Drosophila melanogaster: one gene and its partners. The protein of the gene in region 3 interacts with the protein of the main gene of each other region in a pairwise test. Each region holds a gene or a part of one and is shown on either strand. Other genes may lie near its edges.

Region 1 (7,860 bases), 1.1 Mb from region 3:
TCGCAAATGAAGGTGTTTTTATTGGTTTCTCAGTATATCGAAATTCTATTCTAACTTTTTATTGGGGAATTTTTTAAGTTTTTTTTAACCGTTTCTTGTTTAGATTTCTGATTTTATCTCAAGAGCAAGAAAAAGCGGTTTGCCAAATATTAATATTTAAGCAACTATTCACGCAAGATAAAGTTAATAGAAACGACATTCTTTATTACCTTAACTATAGTTAGGCAAATTGCCCTTTTTTTGCTTATTATTATTTTAAAATTAATAACTTGAAAAACTATTTTTATTGATGAAGCAATAATAACTTAAAATTAACAGCTTTGGTTATGGTGTTTATAGTTTGAATTAATATATGAAATTTTAAAGTTGGGTTTAAATTATTGTGATACATTTTGAATTGAATTGAATTGAATTGAATTGACCGTAGTACAAGCAAAACTTCAAATGGAAATCGATCTTAATTTCTTTCTGTGTAGGCGGTGTGTATTTTGGTATGCAAGTCCGTTTTAACAGCCAAAACACAAGCCGCATATTTCAGCCAATTTATGGTCGGGCTCTCAACGGCTATTGTGCTGACCGCAGGTGTACTCAGTACATATGTATGTACATATGTACATATGTATGTATATATGTATATAAGTGTATTAGAAGTGTAATATGGGAACCGCATTTGCAATTCCTTTCTGCGGCCACCGGGCAAACTTCATTAGCCAGTGATGTCAGCTGGCGCGCGGAGGTAATGCGGATTTGGACAGTGAGTCAGTCCACGAGGTCGGTGGTTCAGACAGTCCGGCATTTGGGGTCCACAAGGGGGAGGGGTGAGGTGGGTGCTGGGTGATGGGTGGTGGGTGGCGAAGGGGCTTGGAGGCGTTTGAGGGTTCGTGCGACGTCGTAATTAATGGCAATTATTATGTCACTCAAAGGGAAGTCGATTGAAAAAGCAGCCTAAATAATGCAAATGGAATTGGAAATTATAATTCACAGAGGGAAAGTAAACGGGGGCACAGTCATTGCACTAATTAACTATTTATTGAGAGCCCGTTGCAGGCTTCAAATAATCTCGAGTCTGTTTTTAAGGCTTTAAGGTTTTTACGCCTCAAACTTTCCGGCTAGTTTTCTCGCGATGACGTCATGGCCAGCTCATGTAGCCAATAGTTATTCGGCTGTAAAGTAATTAGCCGCGAACATCATTTAGGCTAATTGTTTTTTGCACTTATGTGAGCAGGCTGTTTTTAGTGGTAGCGAAATAAAAAAAAGAGCAACAATTTTTTTCTGTGACCAAAGTTTCTAGTTTTTAGGCGCGCTAAAATCTGCGGTTCTATAAACTATTATGAAAAAGTAATTATTTTGCGATTGCTAATTGTTAGTTTTTAGTGCTACTGAACACCTCTTTTTGTTGAATTAATAGAATAACAATACAATTAGTGATTCATTAAACGGCCAACAATGGACTTGGAATTAATTTCGGTTACAAATGGAAAATAGAGATATGAAGTTGAAATAATTTACATACTTGTAGATGAATAAATAAAACCGAGGAAAATTGATTTACAACCTTCATCTAAGTATTAAAAACTTAAAAAAAAAACCATAACAAAATGAAGTTTTAAAAGTTCCCGCAGTTATAGCCAAGCTCCGCACCACGAGCTTAGCCAAGGTTTCAACCGGTGTGGTAGTGTGGAGCCTTATTGTTGCTGTAGCTTGTTGCTCATTCCGCAGCCAGGGTCACACTTTATCGAGCAGTTTTCTGTGAAACAGCCGATGTGTGACATCGATATCAAGCAAAACATCGAAACACATCGCCCCAAAACATCGCTGTTGGATGCATCGATGTTATTTTACATCACTAGGCGAGCGAGCCAGCAATAAGCGAACGATTTTTGCGCAAAAACGGTCTTTATCAATAAATCGCTGCGCACGATCGCATTGCCGTGGAAAACGCGTACATTGTCGTTCGAAAGCCGCCAAGCCAGCGTCTTTGCCGCCAAAAGAAACGCGTTTCGGTGCTGCAAATAGAAAAAAGAACGTAAGCAACGATAACAACAGGCAGTGAGAGCGAGCGAGAACGGGAGAGAGAGAGAGCGAGAGAGTGTTGTGTGTGTGCGTGCTGCCAACTTGTCGCACCAATTCGCTGCTGTGCTTAAGTGTGCGTGTGTGTTCTGTGGGGTTCTCCCAAAAAGAGCAAACAAATACGAAACCTTTGCGCGATGCCATTCGAAACGTATCTGAAGTTTTAGGGTTCGAACTTCGATTCGCTTACTCTGCTGCTTTATACATAAATATTTATTTGGTTGGACACCGCGACTTTTCAACAAGTTGCCAGCGCAGCGTGCAACGCGCGTACACACACACACACGCGCCCAGGAAGGAGTGAGAGAGAGAGAGAGTGAGCAACGGCAACAACAACAAAAGCCTCTCAGCAGCAACGTTTTTAGTGATGTCATCAGAAAGTAAGTTGATTTTTTCGCTGTGTGCTGTGTGTTTTTCTGTTTTTTTTGTTGCCTCTTGGCACACACACAAACGCACACGCACACAAGCGCGCGCAACGTTGTCATGACGTCATTCAACCGAAATACTCACGACTCGGTGTTGTTGTTATTGTTGCTGTTGTTGTTGTTTTCCTTTGGGGGAACTTGAGTTCCATCAGTCAGCAATCGGCACCACAGCCACAATATAATCATCGTCATCACAACGCACACTCGTCATCGGCCCAAAACAAAAACGAGCCCATGCCAATCCCGCCCAGAAACAGAAATTGAAACTTAAACTGAAACGGATTCCGATCTGAATCGGTATCACAAACTGGATGACAAATTGATAAACCGTAAAACTGACAGCGTAATCCAAAAGCAATCCAATCCAATCCAATTGTAGAAACGTCTTCAAGCTGGCCAAATTGAAGCGGAAACGGTAGCCAAACTGAAGCACTTGTCGGAGAGCGTCTCGGTGCTGCTGAAGATCGCCAGGATCGGCAACATGGACAACAGCATCGTCGAGGAGAACGGCAACTCGTCGGCGGCATCGGGCTCCAATGACGTGGTCGATGTCGTTGCCCAACAGGCGGCGGCAGCGGTGGGCGGCGGCGGTGGAGGAGGAGGAGGCGGCGGCGGTGGTAACCCCCAGCAGCAGCAACAGAACCCACAAAGTACAACGGCCGGCGGTCCAACGGGTGCGACGAACAACGCCCAGGGAGGCGGAGTGTCCTCCGTGCTGACCACCACCGCCAACTGCAACATACAATACCCCATCCAGACGCTGGCGCAGCACGGACTGCAGGTGAGCATTTGGGGACCGGGTGCTTGGTGTCAACTGTCGAGTGTCAGGTGTTACGGATCCCAGCCAGAAGTGGCTACCAAGGATGTTAGTGCAGAAGCACTTCAAAGCCTCCTTTGGTATGGGAACTGAGTGTAGATAGGGATAGTTATTACCGGAAATAAGGCAGCTTAGTGTTCTTTAACTAATAGCAAACAAACAAGTACAATACTGTTTATTATAAAGTTTTATAAAGTTTACTGCATAGATTATGCATCCATCATTTTTCAATCATTTCAATACGTTTCTTATTCTACATCCCTAAAATCGATTTCGTTTACCAATGTATATATTAAATGGGGTATGACTATATGGACTACATAATACATATAATAAATCTTTATAGTTAAGCTTCACAAAAATTGATATAGACCATATAGCTGTTATTAGGATGTCGACTACACTTACACATTCACAGGACTTTTAATTTTATTCATTAGAATATCGAGAATTTGCGGTGTTTGTTAGTTACACTACAGCCTACAAAACTTACTATGTCAGTCCCGTTGAGGCCAATAACCCTGACCGCGAGCGTTTCTAATGTAGTGACCTTCTATATCCGCAGGTGCAGTCCGTGATACAGGCCAATCCCTCGGGAGTCATACAGACAGCAGCTGGAACCCAGCAGCAGCAACAGGCGCTGGCCGCCGCCACAGCGATGCAGAAGGTGGTCTACGTGGCCAAGCCGCCGAACTCGACGGTCATCCACACGACGCCTGGCAATGCAGTGCAAGTGCGTAACAAAGTGCGTAGAACGGGGAGCACGGAGCACCCGCCGAACCGAACTCTACTAATGAACTCGATCACCTCGCACACAGATCCCTCCAACCTTTCCGTGTAAGATCAAGCCCGAACCGAACACGCAGCACCCGGAGGACAGCGACGAGAGTCTGTCGGACGACGATTCCCAGCACCACCGCAGCGAGCTGACGCGACGGCCGTCGTACAATAAGATCTTCACCGAGATCAGCGGTCCGGACATGAGCGGTAAATCCGGGGGACGATCTCTCCACCAGTCACACACCCACTCGAACACATCTCTGTCGCTCTTTAAACCACCACATCGCCTAACAATCCAATGCATCGTCGAGCTGATCGCCACTCATCGTTCATTTCACGATGCACTTGCGCCTGGCAATCTTTCGACCATTCCCAGCAACTCTCATAACGCTGGGGAATCGGTCAGTCCATCAGACACCATTCCATTCTCAGTGTTTGTAACCCCATGATCGATCACCTTTCCCGTTCATCTTGTACAGTAGCTGTTGGCTAAGTAACACTGTTAACACTCGTTGTAGTGCGCTTTAGCAAATGATCCATATCGAAATGATTAGACGAGAGGAATGTACTGTAAAATTATACTCTTGCCACAAAAAGTGCATTTACAATTTTATCAGAAAAGTCTAAGGTCCAAGTTGCTCACTGGATCCTTATGAAATCTATATTGTAAATATACAAAAGGAAAACATTTGCAACATTCATTACGTTGCTATTGTTTATAAAGCAATATATGGTTCTCCTAGTGCAATAAGATTCTCTAGCCAAAACCTTGCCCAGCTAAAAAGTAACGAAAATGTGGACAGAATAAAAAAAAAGCATTAAATATACATTTCCGAAGCTTTCCATTTGAAACTATTATTTTCAACCAGAACAGAATAGAGGGTTGTTTATTTTCTTACATAGTTTCTTAAAAATATAATGAAACAGAGGAAAGAGGTAGAAACTAATGGAACCCAGTTAGCTAACATTGTGTTTTTGTTTGGATCTCAACTGTATTTGTACATACAACACATAGATTGTGAAGGACTGCCAGCCTTGTCCTTTGTACATCATTAGGAATGCCATTTAGGGCAGCCGTACAAGCGGGAACCCCGCCCCTTTCCACCACCCCCATTATCATTTAGTTGATGTTGTTGTTGGTGTTGCTTTAACGAAGTGAAAATAATGAAAGAAAAACAAAAGGCCGGAAAACTTGGCCCGAGAAGGAGCAGAAAAAGAGGACGCGTTGTAGAGATTCCACGATTTTCCAATTCTCCCCTGTAAATAAACCTCTCACTCGCACACACACACACTCGCGCACAACTTCACCAACTCACACACACACTCACACATATGTACATAGACAGGGAGGGAAGACAGCAAGAATAATGATTAATATTTACAATAATTTAAGCATTTGAACTATTGCTGCTGTCTTCTTGCCCACAATTCTCTATCTCTCTCTCTATCGCCCTCCCCTCTCTCTCTCTTTCGCCGCCTCTCTGTCGTTGTTGTTGCTGTAATCGCTGTTGTTGTTGTTGTTGCCGTTGTTACACACACAACCCATTATGCCAAATATTAAATAGTAATGAAGAAGTACAAGCAAACGTCTCACCTAACAGTACTTTAACCGTTAATCAAAAGCTTTTCTCCACTCTCTTTGACTAACCAATCTACCTATCTCGCTCGCTCGCTCGCCGTTCTCGCTCGCACACACCACTCAAGTTCATAAACCAACCAACAAAAAAAAACCAATCCGAATTTTCAAAAGCTTCCAATTGAAAACTGAAAAATGGAAAATATGTTTTCTTATAATTTTTTTATTGTTGTTTTTTTTTCATTGTTTTCTTTTCGAACGCCTTCCTCCACCCAACCCACAAAAATAAAAAAACGATATATAAAATTCGATAATGTTCTGAACAACAACTGCAACAACAACAACAACAAACGACAATCAAAACCCCAAACCGAACTCGAATCGGAATCGAACTCGAATCAAATCGAATCGAACCCCATCCCAGGCGCATCGCTTCCCATGTCCGACGGCGTGCTCAATTCCCAGCTGGCGGGGACCGGAGCGGGGGGCAATGCGGCGAACAGCTCCCTGATGCAATTGGATCCCACGTACTACCTGTCCAATCGGATGTCCTACAACACCAGTAATAGCCTCGCTCCAAAACTAGCCTTTAGTTGCGACTTGGCAGGACCACTCGTAAATCGAACTGGAATCGAGGGTCTATCAAATTGAAGTTATCGAGTTATCGAGCTGAATGTAGGCGATGAATCAGCGTCCATGGAACTGCTTCATCGCCTAACTGCAGCATATGGACTCAAATGATTGTAATTGATAACTTTGATAATGCTCCATTCCATGCTGGCATTATTTTCGTTTTTATTCAAATTGTTTAGTTGAACATGGATGGTGTGTTCAATCATTTTTGCATGCAATTTGTGTTGACATCGAAGTGAAACCAAATCCAAACCATCAATGACTATGAAATCCAGTTCAGTTCGAGTTACAGAGAGTTCCGCTTTGGGAGATGTGCACACACACATCGCTTACAGCCAGCTGAATGACTGATTATCCAATCCTTGAAAACTTTTTCCTTTTGCAGACAACAGCGGGATAGCGGAGGATCAGACCCGTAAGCGCGAGATCCGGCTGCAGAAGAACAGGGAGGCGGCGCGTGAGTGCCGGCGCAAGAAGAAGGAGTACATCAAGTGCCTGGAGAATCGAGTGGCGGTGCTAGAGAACCAAAACAAAGCGCTCATCGAGGAGCTGAAGTCGCTCAAGGAGCTCTACTGTCAGACCAAGAACGATTGAATGTGGGCGGGGCTCTGGCGCCGCCTGCGCCTCCGCCTCCAGTTACGGCTACGGTTACGGCTACGGCAACGGTTACGGTTACGGTTACGGCGATCACTGCGCTTCGCTCCGCTCTGTTCTATTCCGTTCTGTTCTGGACAACAATGGTGGATCGATCCTTGCCGCTGGCCGGTCGCATATCATGATTTCTATACGCATGGGATGCTGCATGTGGTAGCGTGTACATTAACTGTGGGGATCGTGTTGTTGTTGTTGTTGGGATGCAGACGGGCCGAACCGGACCAAACCTAATCGAACCGAACCGGATGGAAGGGACAGAGGGTCTATCTGCCGGACACACAATGTAATTATGTTTGTAATTTAAAGATGTAATATTATGTTTACGATTTAGTTTATGCCCTAGTTTACTCGCTAACTTAACGATACTGCAGTTTACCTACGAACATGTGTTTCCGTAACCTAAGACCTTTCACCACACCCCCCCGCATGCACACCTTACCTTACCTTACCTTACCTATTGTAATTAAATTTTTTGTTTTACCTAATTCGTAATCGATGCAGCAGAACGTGCGTGTCTAGCGAAAGTGTTTTTTCTTAGCGAATTGTTGTTGTGTGCCCATATGTCAGGATATAGTCAACCAGCAGGTTGCCCAATCCACCAGAGTCCTTTCTAGATGGGTTTTCTGGGCCTACCAAATTAAAATTGTTCAAAAGTCGCTAGTTTCACTTGATTTACATATGCGTGTGCGTGTAGTATGTATATATGCGTGTGTGCCGGCCAATGTGTATCTGTAGAATTAGTCTTAAATCGAATGGATGAATTGATTGTCTGGGATTTGGGCATGGAGTTAAATATTCAAACACTTTGTTACGTAATTTTAAACGAACCCTCTCCGCTCCCAAAGAACCTGGTTAAGCAGACAATTCTGCACGCTACCGTGAATCCAGTTCGGAATCGAAAGGGA
Region 2 (7,157 bases), on a different chromosome or scaffold from region 3:
GCCCGGTAGCGGTTGCAAAACAAATTGCATGGAAACCATTTTAATTTTTCAACTATTCATGTACACAGTGTCCTCGTTGAATTTTCATGTCACAAAACGTTGAGAGACTTTCAGAGTGACCGTACTGGCTAGAGCTGGGACGAAAACCGATGCCGCCCGACTGTATCGATGGTTGCCGGAAAATTCGACGGTATCGATACATTCTCCAAACAAATTTATTGGTAAACAAAAACTTTACTTTCAAATTAAATTGACATTGACTACAATATGTGTACTTAGGCTGTATATATTTTATTAAATTTAAGATACAGAAGTTCACGAATGCGTCCATTCTTATCGGTTGTTTTTCCTTAAATAGTGGCAGTCCAAAAAATCTCCAATAGAATATACTAAAATATACTAAAGACCGCTTTAAAATAATGAATTGGTAGAAAACTTTGATTGACAAACTTTTGAGAAGCCGATTTAACCGCTTTTACGTCGCGTAAACCGTTTGCTTAGGAACTAGAAATAAAATTCAGTTTGTTCACTTTGTTGTATATTTGAGGAATTTATTTAGGTCACTGAGTATCGTTAATGATCTTAAATTAGAAGGAAATTAGATAAGTCAGCAGAAAAGCATATACGTTTACTAAGGAGTTTCCAAATCTAAAGCTCTCAAGGGTCCAGATTTTTAACAGAAGGTATACCTGAAAATAGTTTCCTTAAAAAAAAATCATATTGTGACTTTTAAAACAGTTTTGTTAAAATTTTATCAAGCTATAGCTTTTAAATGTTTTCTCCCTTGCTGAAAAGTGAAAATATTCATATATGTTGTACTCGTATATTAAAATCGTGTTATAAGTGGAGTTATTAAAGCAAGTTTAAACACATTAATTTTGCTTTAATAATTTAACGTAGTTCTTTCGTTTATTTTATAGCATTAGTGAAATTTATTTTAAAAGTATTTTTTCATTTCTATTTGGGAAATTATACATAGAACCATGTGTATGTACAGATATAATTTCCGAATCCGAACCTTCTTACCAAACGCAGATTACTCGACAATGCATCTAAATATATGTATAGTTAATGATATATTATTTATCGATTGTGCTCATTGGCACTACTCTCGTACATATTAGTAGAATATTCATCGATTGTCAAGTGGCTGTTACTTTCGATCATACCCGAGTCCATATTGCTATAGTCCTTGGACGCTTTACTTAAACCATCACTACCGCAATAGGGAAGACAACCAATTCTGCCTAAATCATTTGGATTATTGGAATCTAGAGGATTATCAGCACCCGGTGGCAAACTAGTGCAATGTTGCGTACAATTGTCGCAGGGATTCTTATCAGTGGGCACACCATTGCCGGATTGGCATGAATTTGGGGAGGAGGACGGTTCATATTTCCGGGGTCTCCCTCTCGACAAGTGCCGCCTTTTGACAAACTCATTATCGTCGACCATCCAAAACGAGCCAAAGTCATCTTCATAACGTACAAAGCACTTGTGTAAGGAAAGGTTCGTACGAATCGCATTCTTTATGATTGGTTGGACAAAACAAGAGCCCCATCAAGAGTCAGAAACAGGAAATTGCATTATCGTGAAAGGAAGAAAAAGTTCATTGAGATATTAAGGTTAGTTCATTTGTCTTCGGTCTTCTTATTTTCATTTTTCATAACACGCGAAATCCTGGATAATCTTCATCAGCTAAATTCCAGACAGACAGACAGACAGATCGATGAGCAGACGGACATCATTTTGGGTTTCTACCACTAAGAGATTAGAATCACTGTTTACAATTTGCGCTGTAAAAAGATCGTATAATGTCATATTATATCATTTCGATATAGGAGCATGCATGCAATGGCATATGTATATTTACTAACAGAGCAAAACGGAAGGAGTTTGGAGCAAAGTGAGTAGAATTAAACTATTTGAGACCCACATACCCAATGTTCATGGCTACAAAATAGTTAGTGTCCGGCGAATTGGTAGCACCGGTTAGATTGTTACCAATGCCAGCAGTGCGCTGCGGTCGTCTTTTGTAAAACTCAATCTCATCGACAGTCCAAACTGCTCCTTTCACATTCTCAACCCGCATAAAGCACTTATGAAGGGACAGATTGTGCCGGACTGCGTTCTAATGATATATATTATCAGTTAGCATAGGCCAAACTTAATTTGATTATTTTAAGACATATAAAAAGGAAATGGAATAAAACAGGATCTGACCTGTGTAGCTTACCTTGTTATATATCACTTGTATTTAGCTCTATTATACTCTTAAATATTGGCAAAGTAGTGGACAATGTGGAAAAGGTAGTATATAGTATATATACAGCGGACAAGCTAGGAACGCCAATCGGACAAACGAGAGTTATACGGACGGACAAATGGTCATATCAGATCATAGATATCATATCATATAGCATAAATACTCAAATTAAAGTTATGTTGCATAATATATAGATAATATGGAGGAAAGAAGATTTACATATATGGGGCATTTTACCTTCCACGTAGCTGCGTTGCGCCGGAAGTAGCAAAATGTGTTTTGGAACCAGTTGTAGATTTCGTTTAGGGTTAACTGCTTGTCAGGGGAGTCAATTATAGCCTATAAATAAAATATATATAAAAAAAATAAATTAATGTTATATTAGGAAATTGGTTTTTAAAATTACCTGTCTTATGAGGGAAGCATAAGTAAAAGGCGGTCGTACATCAGCATTCTTATAAAACTCTCTGTTTCGATGGATTTCTGCAAATTTAAATTCTTATTATATGTCTTCCAGAAGCACAAGACGAATAGTCATCAAGACGATCAGTCTACATAATTTACTTACCCTGTTGCACATCAAGACCTGCTCTTTCAAGCATATAGGGTAATCCTATATCCAAAAACCATTATTATTTTTATACAGTAATAGTAAATTTTTCCCAAACTTACCCCCATTTATGGAAAATGTATTTTTGTCGTGGTTTCTCTTTTTGATCGAGCACAAGTTGGTGGAATTAACCATTGGAAGATTCAGAGGACTCGGTGAATTTGTTTGTCGGATGGGTCGGCCTATGCTATTTACGGTAAGCGGACTCCGGCAAAACTTTCCCTCTCTTCCGGGCACGTCCTTATATTTATAACTTTTCATTATACCAATACTTACTCACATAAAAAGGGACTTACCTTCCTGTCGATTTTGGTGGGAGACAAAAGCTGCTTGGACAAATACAAGTGATGCATCATTGCCTGCAAGCGATCTCGTTCTTTTTGCAGGTGGGATTCCAGCTGGGAGACAACTTGCATTTGAACCCGTGCCTGTGCTGTTGATCGATCGTCCAAACCATGTTCCGTATTCAGATGCCTAGTTAGATAACATACCCTATATAATTATTTCATACCTCTAATTGTACTCCACCTACTTGACAAACGATGTGATGTCTTCCAAATCCATTTCGCAACCAGGCCAACGGCATATGCCATGAGCAAATAACGGATGATAGTACTTCCGCATGGCGAACTCATCGTGCATATAGCTGAAATCATTGTTGCACACCTCATTATCCTTCGACCGCAAGAATCTCTCTGCATCGGAGAACATGAGCTTCTCCTGCTCGGATATGAACTCGGGCACATTGTAGAAACCCAGATCGGGAACGGGAGCCATCATATGCTGACCCTGTATATGCATGTGTGGATTGGATTCGTGCTGCTGGGCCGCCGTTGAGGATTCATCGATGCTCGAGGCCGGTGAGCTGCACTTAACTACATGTGAGGCAAAGGTGATCGAGTTATTGAGAAAGCCAGTCGGCGGAAAACAATTGTTCTTAACAGCATCTGAGCATATGTCTGGTATGGAAATTTGGTGTCTCGACTTCACTGATATCTCCTTCTGAATCGAACTCTTAAAGTCCGATTCCTTGGCATCCTCGGAATACTCGTCGTCATGTATCCGATGCATGTTTTTAAAACTGAAATTTATAATCATTACCATTGATCCTTTACCCAAGAGATGGGCATATGCAAATACACAGAAATAATCTCTTTTTCGTCTGTCATTAGGAGTCATTTCAATAAAACTATCTTTACTCATATGCCGCCATTCCTGTAAAACTCCGAATCAGAGTGATAGTTTAAGGATTTCTATTTATTACGCCCTATTTAATTTCAGCTTAATTTTCCCGCACTATCATTGAGATGATACTTTCCCCAAAAGTTATGAATATTTAACAACTTGGCGCATATAAGATTTAACCCCTACTAAAGGCCCAGTGCTAAATGAATTCAGTGTAAATTAAATTAAACATTCTTTAAATGTTTGATTTAATTTTAAATATGTTACAAATAAAATGCCACGTCATCCGGTGCAGTTAATCTGTAAATATAAAGGTTATTCATAGAAAGCATTTATCATATTTAGGCGTATAACAAGTTTAAGATCTCACAAGGGGATTGCATAGGTGGCAAGGAAACCAGACACATCTTATTTTGCTAAAAAGAAACATATACAACATACATAACATAAGAAACATACAGACGGAACGGTCGGACAAACGGAAGGACATACAAACGGACGGACAAACGGACGGACAAACGGACGGACAAACGGACGGACAAACGGACGGACAAACGGACGGACAAACGGACATACAAACGGAAGGACATACAAACGGACGGACAAACGGATATAAAAACGGACGGACGTTTTGGCTATAGGATGAACTTAAATGGAAGAGTATATGAGTTTTGCAGATAGGACCATCTTACGATTGTTTTAATCAAATTCCTGTAATGAAAAATTATATAGCCACCTAAAATAAGAATAAATGTAAATGGTGAAATATGTAAGTATTAAATGTTTTATAGGAAAAGAAGAAAGATATAAAAGAGAAGAGAGAGGTATGGTTTTCATCACATTCGAAGATCCTGAAAAAATAGTATTATATTCGATATACATAAGCTTTTTGTGTAAAGGCGAATAAAGATAAATATATTGTTGGTATTGTGTAGATTTGCATTGTCTGTATTCGTTGGGGGCATTGATTATTCCAAGGGGTATATATGGGTAAATAAAATATTCATATTTCATATGTATACATATCATACAATTTCTGTATAAGAACTGTTTAAACTGGGACTTTTAAGATAAAGTTGTCTGCCTAGACTACTCAACAATATCTTAATTAACTTAACAGACTAGACTTAAATTTTGCGAATACATACATGCACATACAATTTTGCAGACAAAAGAGGATACAATTTTGCATGTACATTTACAATTAAATAACATTCACAGAGGTTTCCAAAGAACAATATTATATTTAATAACGGGCGAATTTTTTAATACAACTTTTCACATATATGTAAAATTAATTTAAACTTAAAAACTATCTTAAGAATATTTTTCGCTGCTACTCCTGAAAAGGTACGTCTACGACTACTGAATTTGCTAGAAATATGTGTACACATTTTTGCGCATGCGTTTCAAAATGCATCCTAAGGCTCCATTACACGTAACGATTTCAAAAATTAAAAACTTTTAAAAGTCAACATTAATTTGCCCAATTAATATTAATATTTAAAGCAATAAGAAAGTGATAAGTAGGGTTTTTTACGGAGGGGTAATTTCCAATAAATATATGATTTACCAATTTCCTTATATGAGAAAGTTTTATTCTTATTAACACAAAAGTTAAATTCCATCTAAAGACGAATATTTCCCATTTAAATAAGCCATTTTAAGCAATTGTGTTAAACTGTTTTATTGCGAAACTGTTTTATGCATTGGTATTTGGTAGAAAGAAAGTGATGTTTATAAAGTTGTAATGGCTGTATCATTTGTTGACAACGTTTTCTCTAGTATTCCTCATCTTCCCCCAGTTCGGTGGTGGAGTCGATGCCTACCTCCTCGTAGTCCTTCTCGAGGGCAGCGAGATCCTCGCGAGCCTCGGCGAACTCGCCCTCCTCCATGCCCTCACCCACGTACCAGTGGACGAAGGCCCTCTTGGCGTACATCAGATCGAACTTGTGATCCAGACGGGCCCAGGCCTCGGCAATGGCAGTGGTATTGGACAGCATGCAGACGGCGCGCTGCACCTTGGCCAGATCTCCGCCAGGAACAACGGTGGGTGGCTGATAGTTGATGCCCACCTTGAAGCCCGTGGGACACCAGTCGACGAACTGGATAGAGCGCTTGGTCTTGATGGTGGCAATGGCTGCGTTCACATCCTTGGGCACCACATCACCGCGGTAGAGCATGCAGCAGGCCATGTACTTGCCACGACGCGGATCACACTTGACCATCTGGTTGGCCGGCTCGAAGCAGGCATTGGTGATCTCGGCCACGGTCAGTTGCTCATGGTAGGCCTTCTCCACGGAAATGACGGGAGCGTATGTCGCCAGTGGGAAATGAATGCGTGGGTAGGGCACCAAATTGGTCTGGAACTCGGTCAGATCCACATTCAGGGCGCCATCGAAGCGCAACGAGGCCGTAATGGAGGAAACGATCTGGCCAATTAGGCGATTGAGATTCATGTAGGTGGGTCGCTCGATATCCAAGTTGCGCCGGCAGATGTCGTAGATTGCCTCGTTGTCAACCATAAACGCACAGTCCGAGTGCTCCAGCGTTGTGTGGGTGGTTAAGATCGAGTTGTATGGCTCGACCACAGCTGTGGACACCTAACAGGAAGTTCGATTATTAGATTGCCTTTCGAAGACTAATTTCCCATGTCTTTTACTAATTATGTTAATTGGTCTTCTATAAATGCTCAAGCAATAGATATAATATCCATATGCAAATGACATACTTGTGGTGCTGGGTAAATGGAGAACTCCAGCTTTGACTTCTTTCCATAGTCCACGGACAGGCGCTCCATCAGCAGCGACGTAAATCCAGAGCCAGTGCCGCCGCCGAAGGAGTGGAAGACCAGGAATCCCTGCAGACCCGTGCACTGATCCGCCAACTTGCGAATCCTGTCCAGGACCACGTCGACGATCTCCTTACCGATGGTATAGTGGCCGCGGGCATAGTTGTTGGCCGCATCCTCCTTACCGGTGATCAGTTGCTCCGGATGGAACAGCTGGCGGTAGGTTCCTGTCCGCACCTCATCCACCACAGTGGGCTCCAGATCCACGAACACGGCACGCGGCACATGCTTACCAGCTCCAGTCT
Region 3 (4,712 bases):
ATCAATCTCATGGTTTATTCAGAGGCAATACAAACTGTACCCAATGATCCCGGTCACGTCTTCGTTTTCCTGCTCCAGCCCGATCGTTTGTCAGGTCGTAAATGCTTGGGATATATCTATGATTACGATACTCTATTCCTGGAAACGTTTGGCGACAGGAACTCGGATACATACCAATGGCCAGTAATACCCGACAATTGCTGCCGTGAGGCCATTTTGAAAAGCTAACTATACAATAAACATGTGGCAGCGGGAGCATCCGCCTCCAGGCGCCAAAGACTGCCTCCTCGAGTAGCTCCTGCCCACCGGAGCACGCTTGTTAGTCCACAGGAATGAGGTGGTAGGAACCCCCAGTGGTATACAGCCCCCTCTTGGATAGCCACCCCCCCCCTGAGACCCATTCACTTGCACATTAGGCAGCAAATTGACATCGATACAAGAAGTAAACCAGAAGTGAGTGGAAAGAGAGGGCACTATCGCGTGCGACAGAGAGGAAAGCGTGCAGCATTTAACTGCTGCCAATTTACTGTTTAAATGCCAAACAAAAAGTGTTAACAAGCGCAAAAATAACAAAAGACACCAACAACAAAGTACGCAGAGCGAGAGGGCCCGAGGCGAGCCACAGGCGGCCAGCCCTTGGGCCAAAGCGAGACAGACAGATGTCGTGCCGGCTGCCTCTCGCTCGCACAAACCAGTTTAAGGGGGCGTGGCCTGGCCACAAAACAGGGTTGACAGCATCCCATCCATCCATCTTGCCATCCGGATATCTGTCCATCAGATACAACAGCAAAAGCAACATTAGAAGCAAAAGCAAAGGCGGCAGCTGCCCTGCTGCCATAATCGTGTTGAGTTTCAAGCTGCCATAAAAAGTTTATGGGAAGTCGTATTGAACAGGGAAACCTTCTAAAACAGTATGATTTTGCTACTGCTGGAGGCATATTGCATAAATGTTCTGTCATTCCTGTACAAACTATATTTAGTTGGAAAGTTAGATAACAAGTTATTAGTATATTAAAGATGCATGGCTACATATTTTTTAATAATACTCGCTATTATAATAAAAGTTTACCATTAACACTGTTCAAATTTTGTTTGAAAGCAGCTAAAATAATATGAAATAACCAACTGACCCCTAAGACTATATTTAACCCTCAAAGATAACGAACACGTTTTTGTTCAGATTTATAGAAATCAAATAAGTACAAATAACTTTTTATATAAATTGACAAGACTTAATAAACCCTATTTATTTAAGGATATGAAGTTAATTGCAATACTTTTTGTGCGGTTGTAGTTCGAAACAGCCAACTCCACCACGTGCCATAAAAATAACCGTTAGACGTGCGGCCATTGCCGGCGGAAAGTCACCACACCCGCCAACTTGAGTCCCGCTGATTGAAGCCTAATGAATGTCAATTGCTGCCAATTACGACCAATAAGTGCGGGCAATAAATGTGGGCAGCCGTGGGTGCGAGCGAGAGGCAGTCGCGGGGCGACAGAGAGGGAAACTCACCACACCGCCACTTGGCCAGGTCAATGAGCGAAAAAGAGACGACGACAGGTGGCAGCTGATGGGAAGCGGTGGCTCAACTGGTTTTTGCTGCCTTCTTGTTGTTGCTGCTGTTGCCGCTGCTGCTGTTGTTGCTGCTGCTGCTGCCAGTTGCTGTTGCTGGCAGCAAGTTTCAGTTTCGGTCGAAAGCCAAAGGCGAGCGGTTGTTGCTCCGCTATTGAACATCACAAAGTGTGCGCACCTCAGCGACATTTGCGTTAAAAACCCAGTTGGGCCAAGAAAACATTAACCAACGCAAGAGCAATCGAAAGCGGAGTTCAAGAACTTGTCAAGTTTAAGAAATAAGTGCGAGCAGCTACCAACAATTAACTGAAGAAGTGCTAAAAACTCGCGTCACCCATACATACATACATAGCTGTTTGTTTTTTTTCGGTGCAAAGTGCAGGTGCAGCAGCGGAGTCGTCGGCTAACCACACATGACCACAATGCCACCGGAAATGTCCGCAACAACGGCAGCTCCCGTTGGCAGTGCACCGAGTGCCACCGCTCATCATCCCGCTGCCGTCGGCGGCGGTATGCCGCGTCCAGCTTCCCCGGCCGTCGGCAGCAACACGACGACAGCCACGGCCACAACGGCGACGCGATCCCGCTTTATGATCACCGATATTTTGGCAGGAGCCGCGGCCGCATCGGCGGCGGCAGCAGCAGCGGCGGCCGCCTTGGCAGCCGCCTCTTCCGGCGGTGGGCGTGGCAGTCCGACGGACTCGGAGCGGGAGCAATCGCTGGTCGCCCAGCATCACCACCATCACCAGCAGCAGCAACAACACCATCATCACCAGCAGCAGCAGCAGCAGCAGCAACATCAGCAGGCTGCCCTGCAACAGTACATCGTGCAACAGCAGCAGTTGCTGCGCTTTGAACGGGAAAGGGAGAGGGAGCGGGAGCGGGAACACTATAGGGAGAGACATTCGCCGCCTGGCAACAATCCCTATGCCCACCACCCCATGCCGCCCCATCTGCTCGCCCACTTTCCGCCCGCCCACTACGCCGTGCTGCAGCAGCAGCAACAGCAACAGCAGCAACAGCAACATCCCCACCCGCATCATCTGCAGCTTGAGAGGGAACGATTGGAGGCACTGCATCGGCATGGCCACGGGCTGACCGGTGATCCTGCCCAGCACTTGAGCCACTTAAGCCACCTGAGCCACCAGCAGCACCATCCGCATCTGCATCATCCCATGCACGATGAGCGATCCCGGTCACCGCTGATGCTGCAACAATTGGGCGGTAACGGTGGCAATAACAACAACAATAACAACAACAGCAGCAGTGCCAGTAACAACAACAACAACAACAACAACAGTGCTAGTGCCAACAGCAACATCATCAGCGGCAACAGCAGCAGCAGCAACAACAACAATGGCAGTGGCAACGGCAACATGTTGCTCGGAGGACCCGGCAGCAGCATTAGCGGCGATCAAGCCAGCACAATCGACGACAGCGACAGCGATGATTGCGGTAAGTCGCTGATCATATATCATAAACATACAATGAATCTGTATAGCAATATGGTTTAAGCTGTATTTCAAGGATAAGGCTACATCGGGAATATATAAAGTATATATATATATATATAGCAGAAATAATTAAGTTGCTAACTAAAGGAAGAGACTAGTTCATGAGACAGACATACAGATTCAGATGGATCTTGAAGAATAGCACCAAGTGCGGAATATATGTATATGTATATAGACACTTTATTGCAATATCAAGTAATATGAGAAGAGCAAAGCGGGGATACATATAGAGAATATATATATATATATATATAGCAATATGATATTTGTGATATTTCAGGGACTGGACTGGATGGGAAAGTGAAATCTAATGAACAACTGATATTCAAAATAGCAAGAAAAAAGAAAGACAAGATATAATGCGAGATATAAATGTTTCAAAATACCAATCAAGGCTTTTTTATACGTGTTCCTGACGTACAAATTAAAAGCAATCAAAATCTAGCTAATATATATGTATTTAAGCTCTAGTAAATTTGCATAGAATATTAAAGGAAATAAAGGAAGCTAGTAATTATAGTATACAAATTGCCATTAAAACCAGTTCTATTTATAAACTTTACCAAAGTTCAGCTGTATTAGCTATTTTATTAAACGAAAAGGGCTTTTATGGCTATAGAGAATAGAAATTATTTCATAGTATGCACACCAATAAATGTTAGCTGATAAATTTGATTCGGTTGGTATTAATTTGAAACCCAAACGGTGGACTTTTGTTTATACACTGAAGGGGATCTCGAAACCAATTTACACCTATCCATCTGACCCCTGAGTTCGCACCACTTTAAATTTACGATTTTCCCCGCGACCGGGATATATCATATATTGAGTGCTAAGCGTGGTTGTTTTTCCTGTTGTCTTTGTCGTTTTTGTTGTGGCTGTTGGCTAATAGATAACGGCCAACAACAACCGCACCAACAACCACCGTAAATTGTGCGGCTCGAACGGGGAAAATGCTGGCTTGATAGGCGAAGACTCGAAAAATACAGGTGAGTTCGAGTCTGAGGCAGGTGTCTTAGGTTTTGTCTCTCACTCTCTCTTTCTTCCTCTACCTGTATATGTCTCTCTTTCTGTTTTTTCCTTTTCAATCCCCCCCCCCCCCCCTCAACTTATTGGCCAGATTAGCCAAGTGTTCGCTTATTTTCAACATATTTCCCAGTCAAAACTGTCAACAGAATACCCTTGACTGCCACGCCCCCCGCGTGCCGTCAACCTTGTTTTGCATGCAACAATCTAATTGATTTTGTTGCCTAGCTTTAGTTTTGCTTTTTTCCTCTCGTTAAGTGCTTTTAAACGATATGCAAATTATAACAAATTACTATTAAATAGCCGTAATCGTGCGTTTGCAATTGATTTGCAGTAATATAATTTAGAAAGGCCGAGAACGTGCACAAATATATATGTATGTATTTGAAAGAGCATGGAAATCAGAACAAAAGGTCAGAATGTTGAGTTTGCTACAAAAGATGTGTGTGTGTTTTTATTATAGATTTTTTACGAAATCCCAAAGGATGATAAAAATGAGTTTCCACTATTTTTGGATAACTAAAATGCCGAGTAATTTTAGTTATTTTAATAATTGCCCGGTCTCAATTCAGTTTTTTTTTTGTTAACGAGAAATTATA

The links.
Region 1: the proteins of B-H2 (region 3) and CrebB interact in a two-hybrid assay, tested with the Drosophila melanogaster proteins (one large-scale study listed by BioGRID).
Region 2: the proteins of B-H2 (region 3) and FoxP interact in a two-hybrid assay, tested with the Drosophila melanogaster proteins (one large-scale study listed by BioGRID).

What each region holds. Positions count from the first base shown.
Region 1 is NC_004354.4:18,369,157-18,377,016, forward strand, and holds CrebB (Cyclic-AMP response element binding protein B), read left to right. Parts: upstream 1-1,827; 5' UTR 1,828-2,026; exon of another isoform or gene 2,027-2,450; intron 2,451-2,874; 5' UTR 2,875-2,976; coding exon 2,977-3,276; intron 3,277-3,877; coding exon 3,878-4,057; intron 4,058-4,130; coding exon 4,131-4,299; coding exon of another isoform or gene 4,300-4,541; exon of another isoform or gene 4,542-4,940; intron 4,941-6,092; coding exon 6,093-6,230; intron 6,231-6,686; coding exon 6,687-6,895; 3' UTR 6,896-7,661; downstream 7,662-7,860. UniProt on the Drosophila melanogaster protein: Isoform E is a PKA-dependent transcriptional activator. Isoform J is a direct antagonist of activation by isoform E in cell culture.
Region 2 is NT_033777.3:9,725,487-9,732,643, forward strand, and holds FoxP (forkhead box P), read right to left. Parts: upstream 5,387-7,157; 5' UTR 3,948-5,386; coding exon 3,409-3,947; intron 3,351-3,408; coding exon 3,173-3,350; intron 3,117-3,172; coding exon 2,939-3,116; intron 2,880-2,938; coding exon 2,835-2,879; intron 2,750-2,834; coding exon 2,673-2,749; intron 2,606-2,672; coding exon 2,504-2,605; coding exon of another isoform or gene 2,441-2,503; exon of another isoform or gene 2,132-2,440; coding exon of another isoform or gene 1,922-2,131; exon of another isoform or gene 1,665-1,921; intron 1,528-1,664; coding exon 1,084-1,527; 3' UTR 534-1,083; downstream 1-533. Other genes in the region: hyd (hyperplastic discs), read right to left, coding at 1-39; alphaTub85E (alpha-Tubulin at 85E), read right to left, coding at 5,843-6,664, 6,793-7,157.
Region 3 is NC_004354.4:17,312,884-17,317,595, forward strand, and holds the start of B-H2 (BarH2), read left to right. Parts: upstream 1-1,697; 5' UTR 1,698-1,986; coding exon 1,987-3,028; intron 3,029-4,712. UniProt on the Drosophila melanogaster protein: B-H1 and B-H2 are regulated by members of the wg signaling pathway; wg and dpp. B-H1 and B-H2 are coexpressed and functionally required in R1 and R6 receptor cells and primary pigment cells for normal eye development.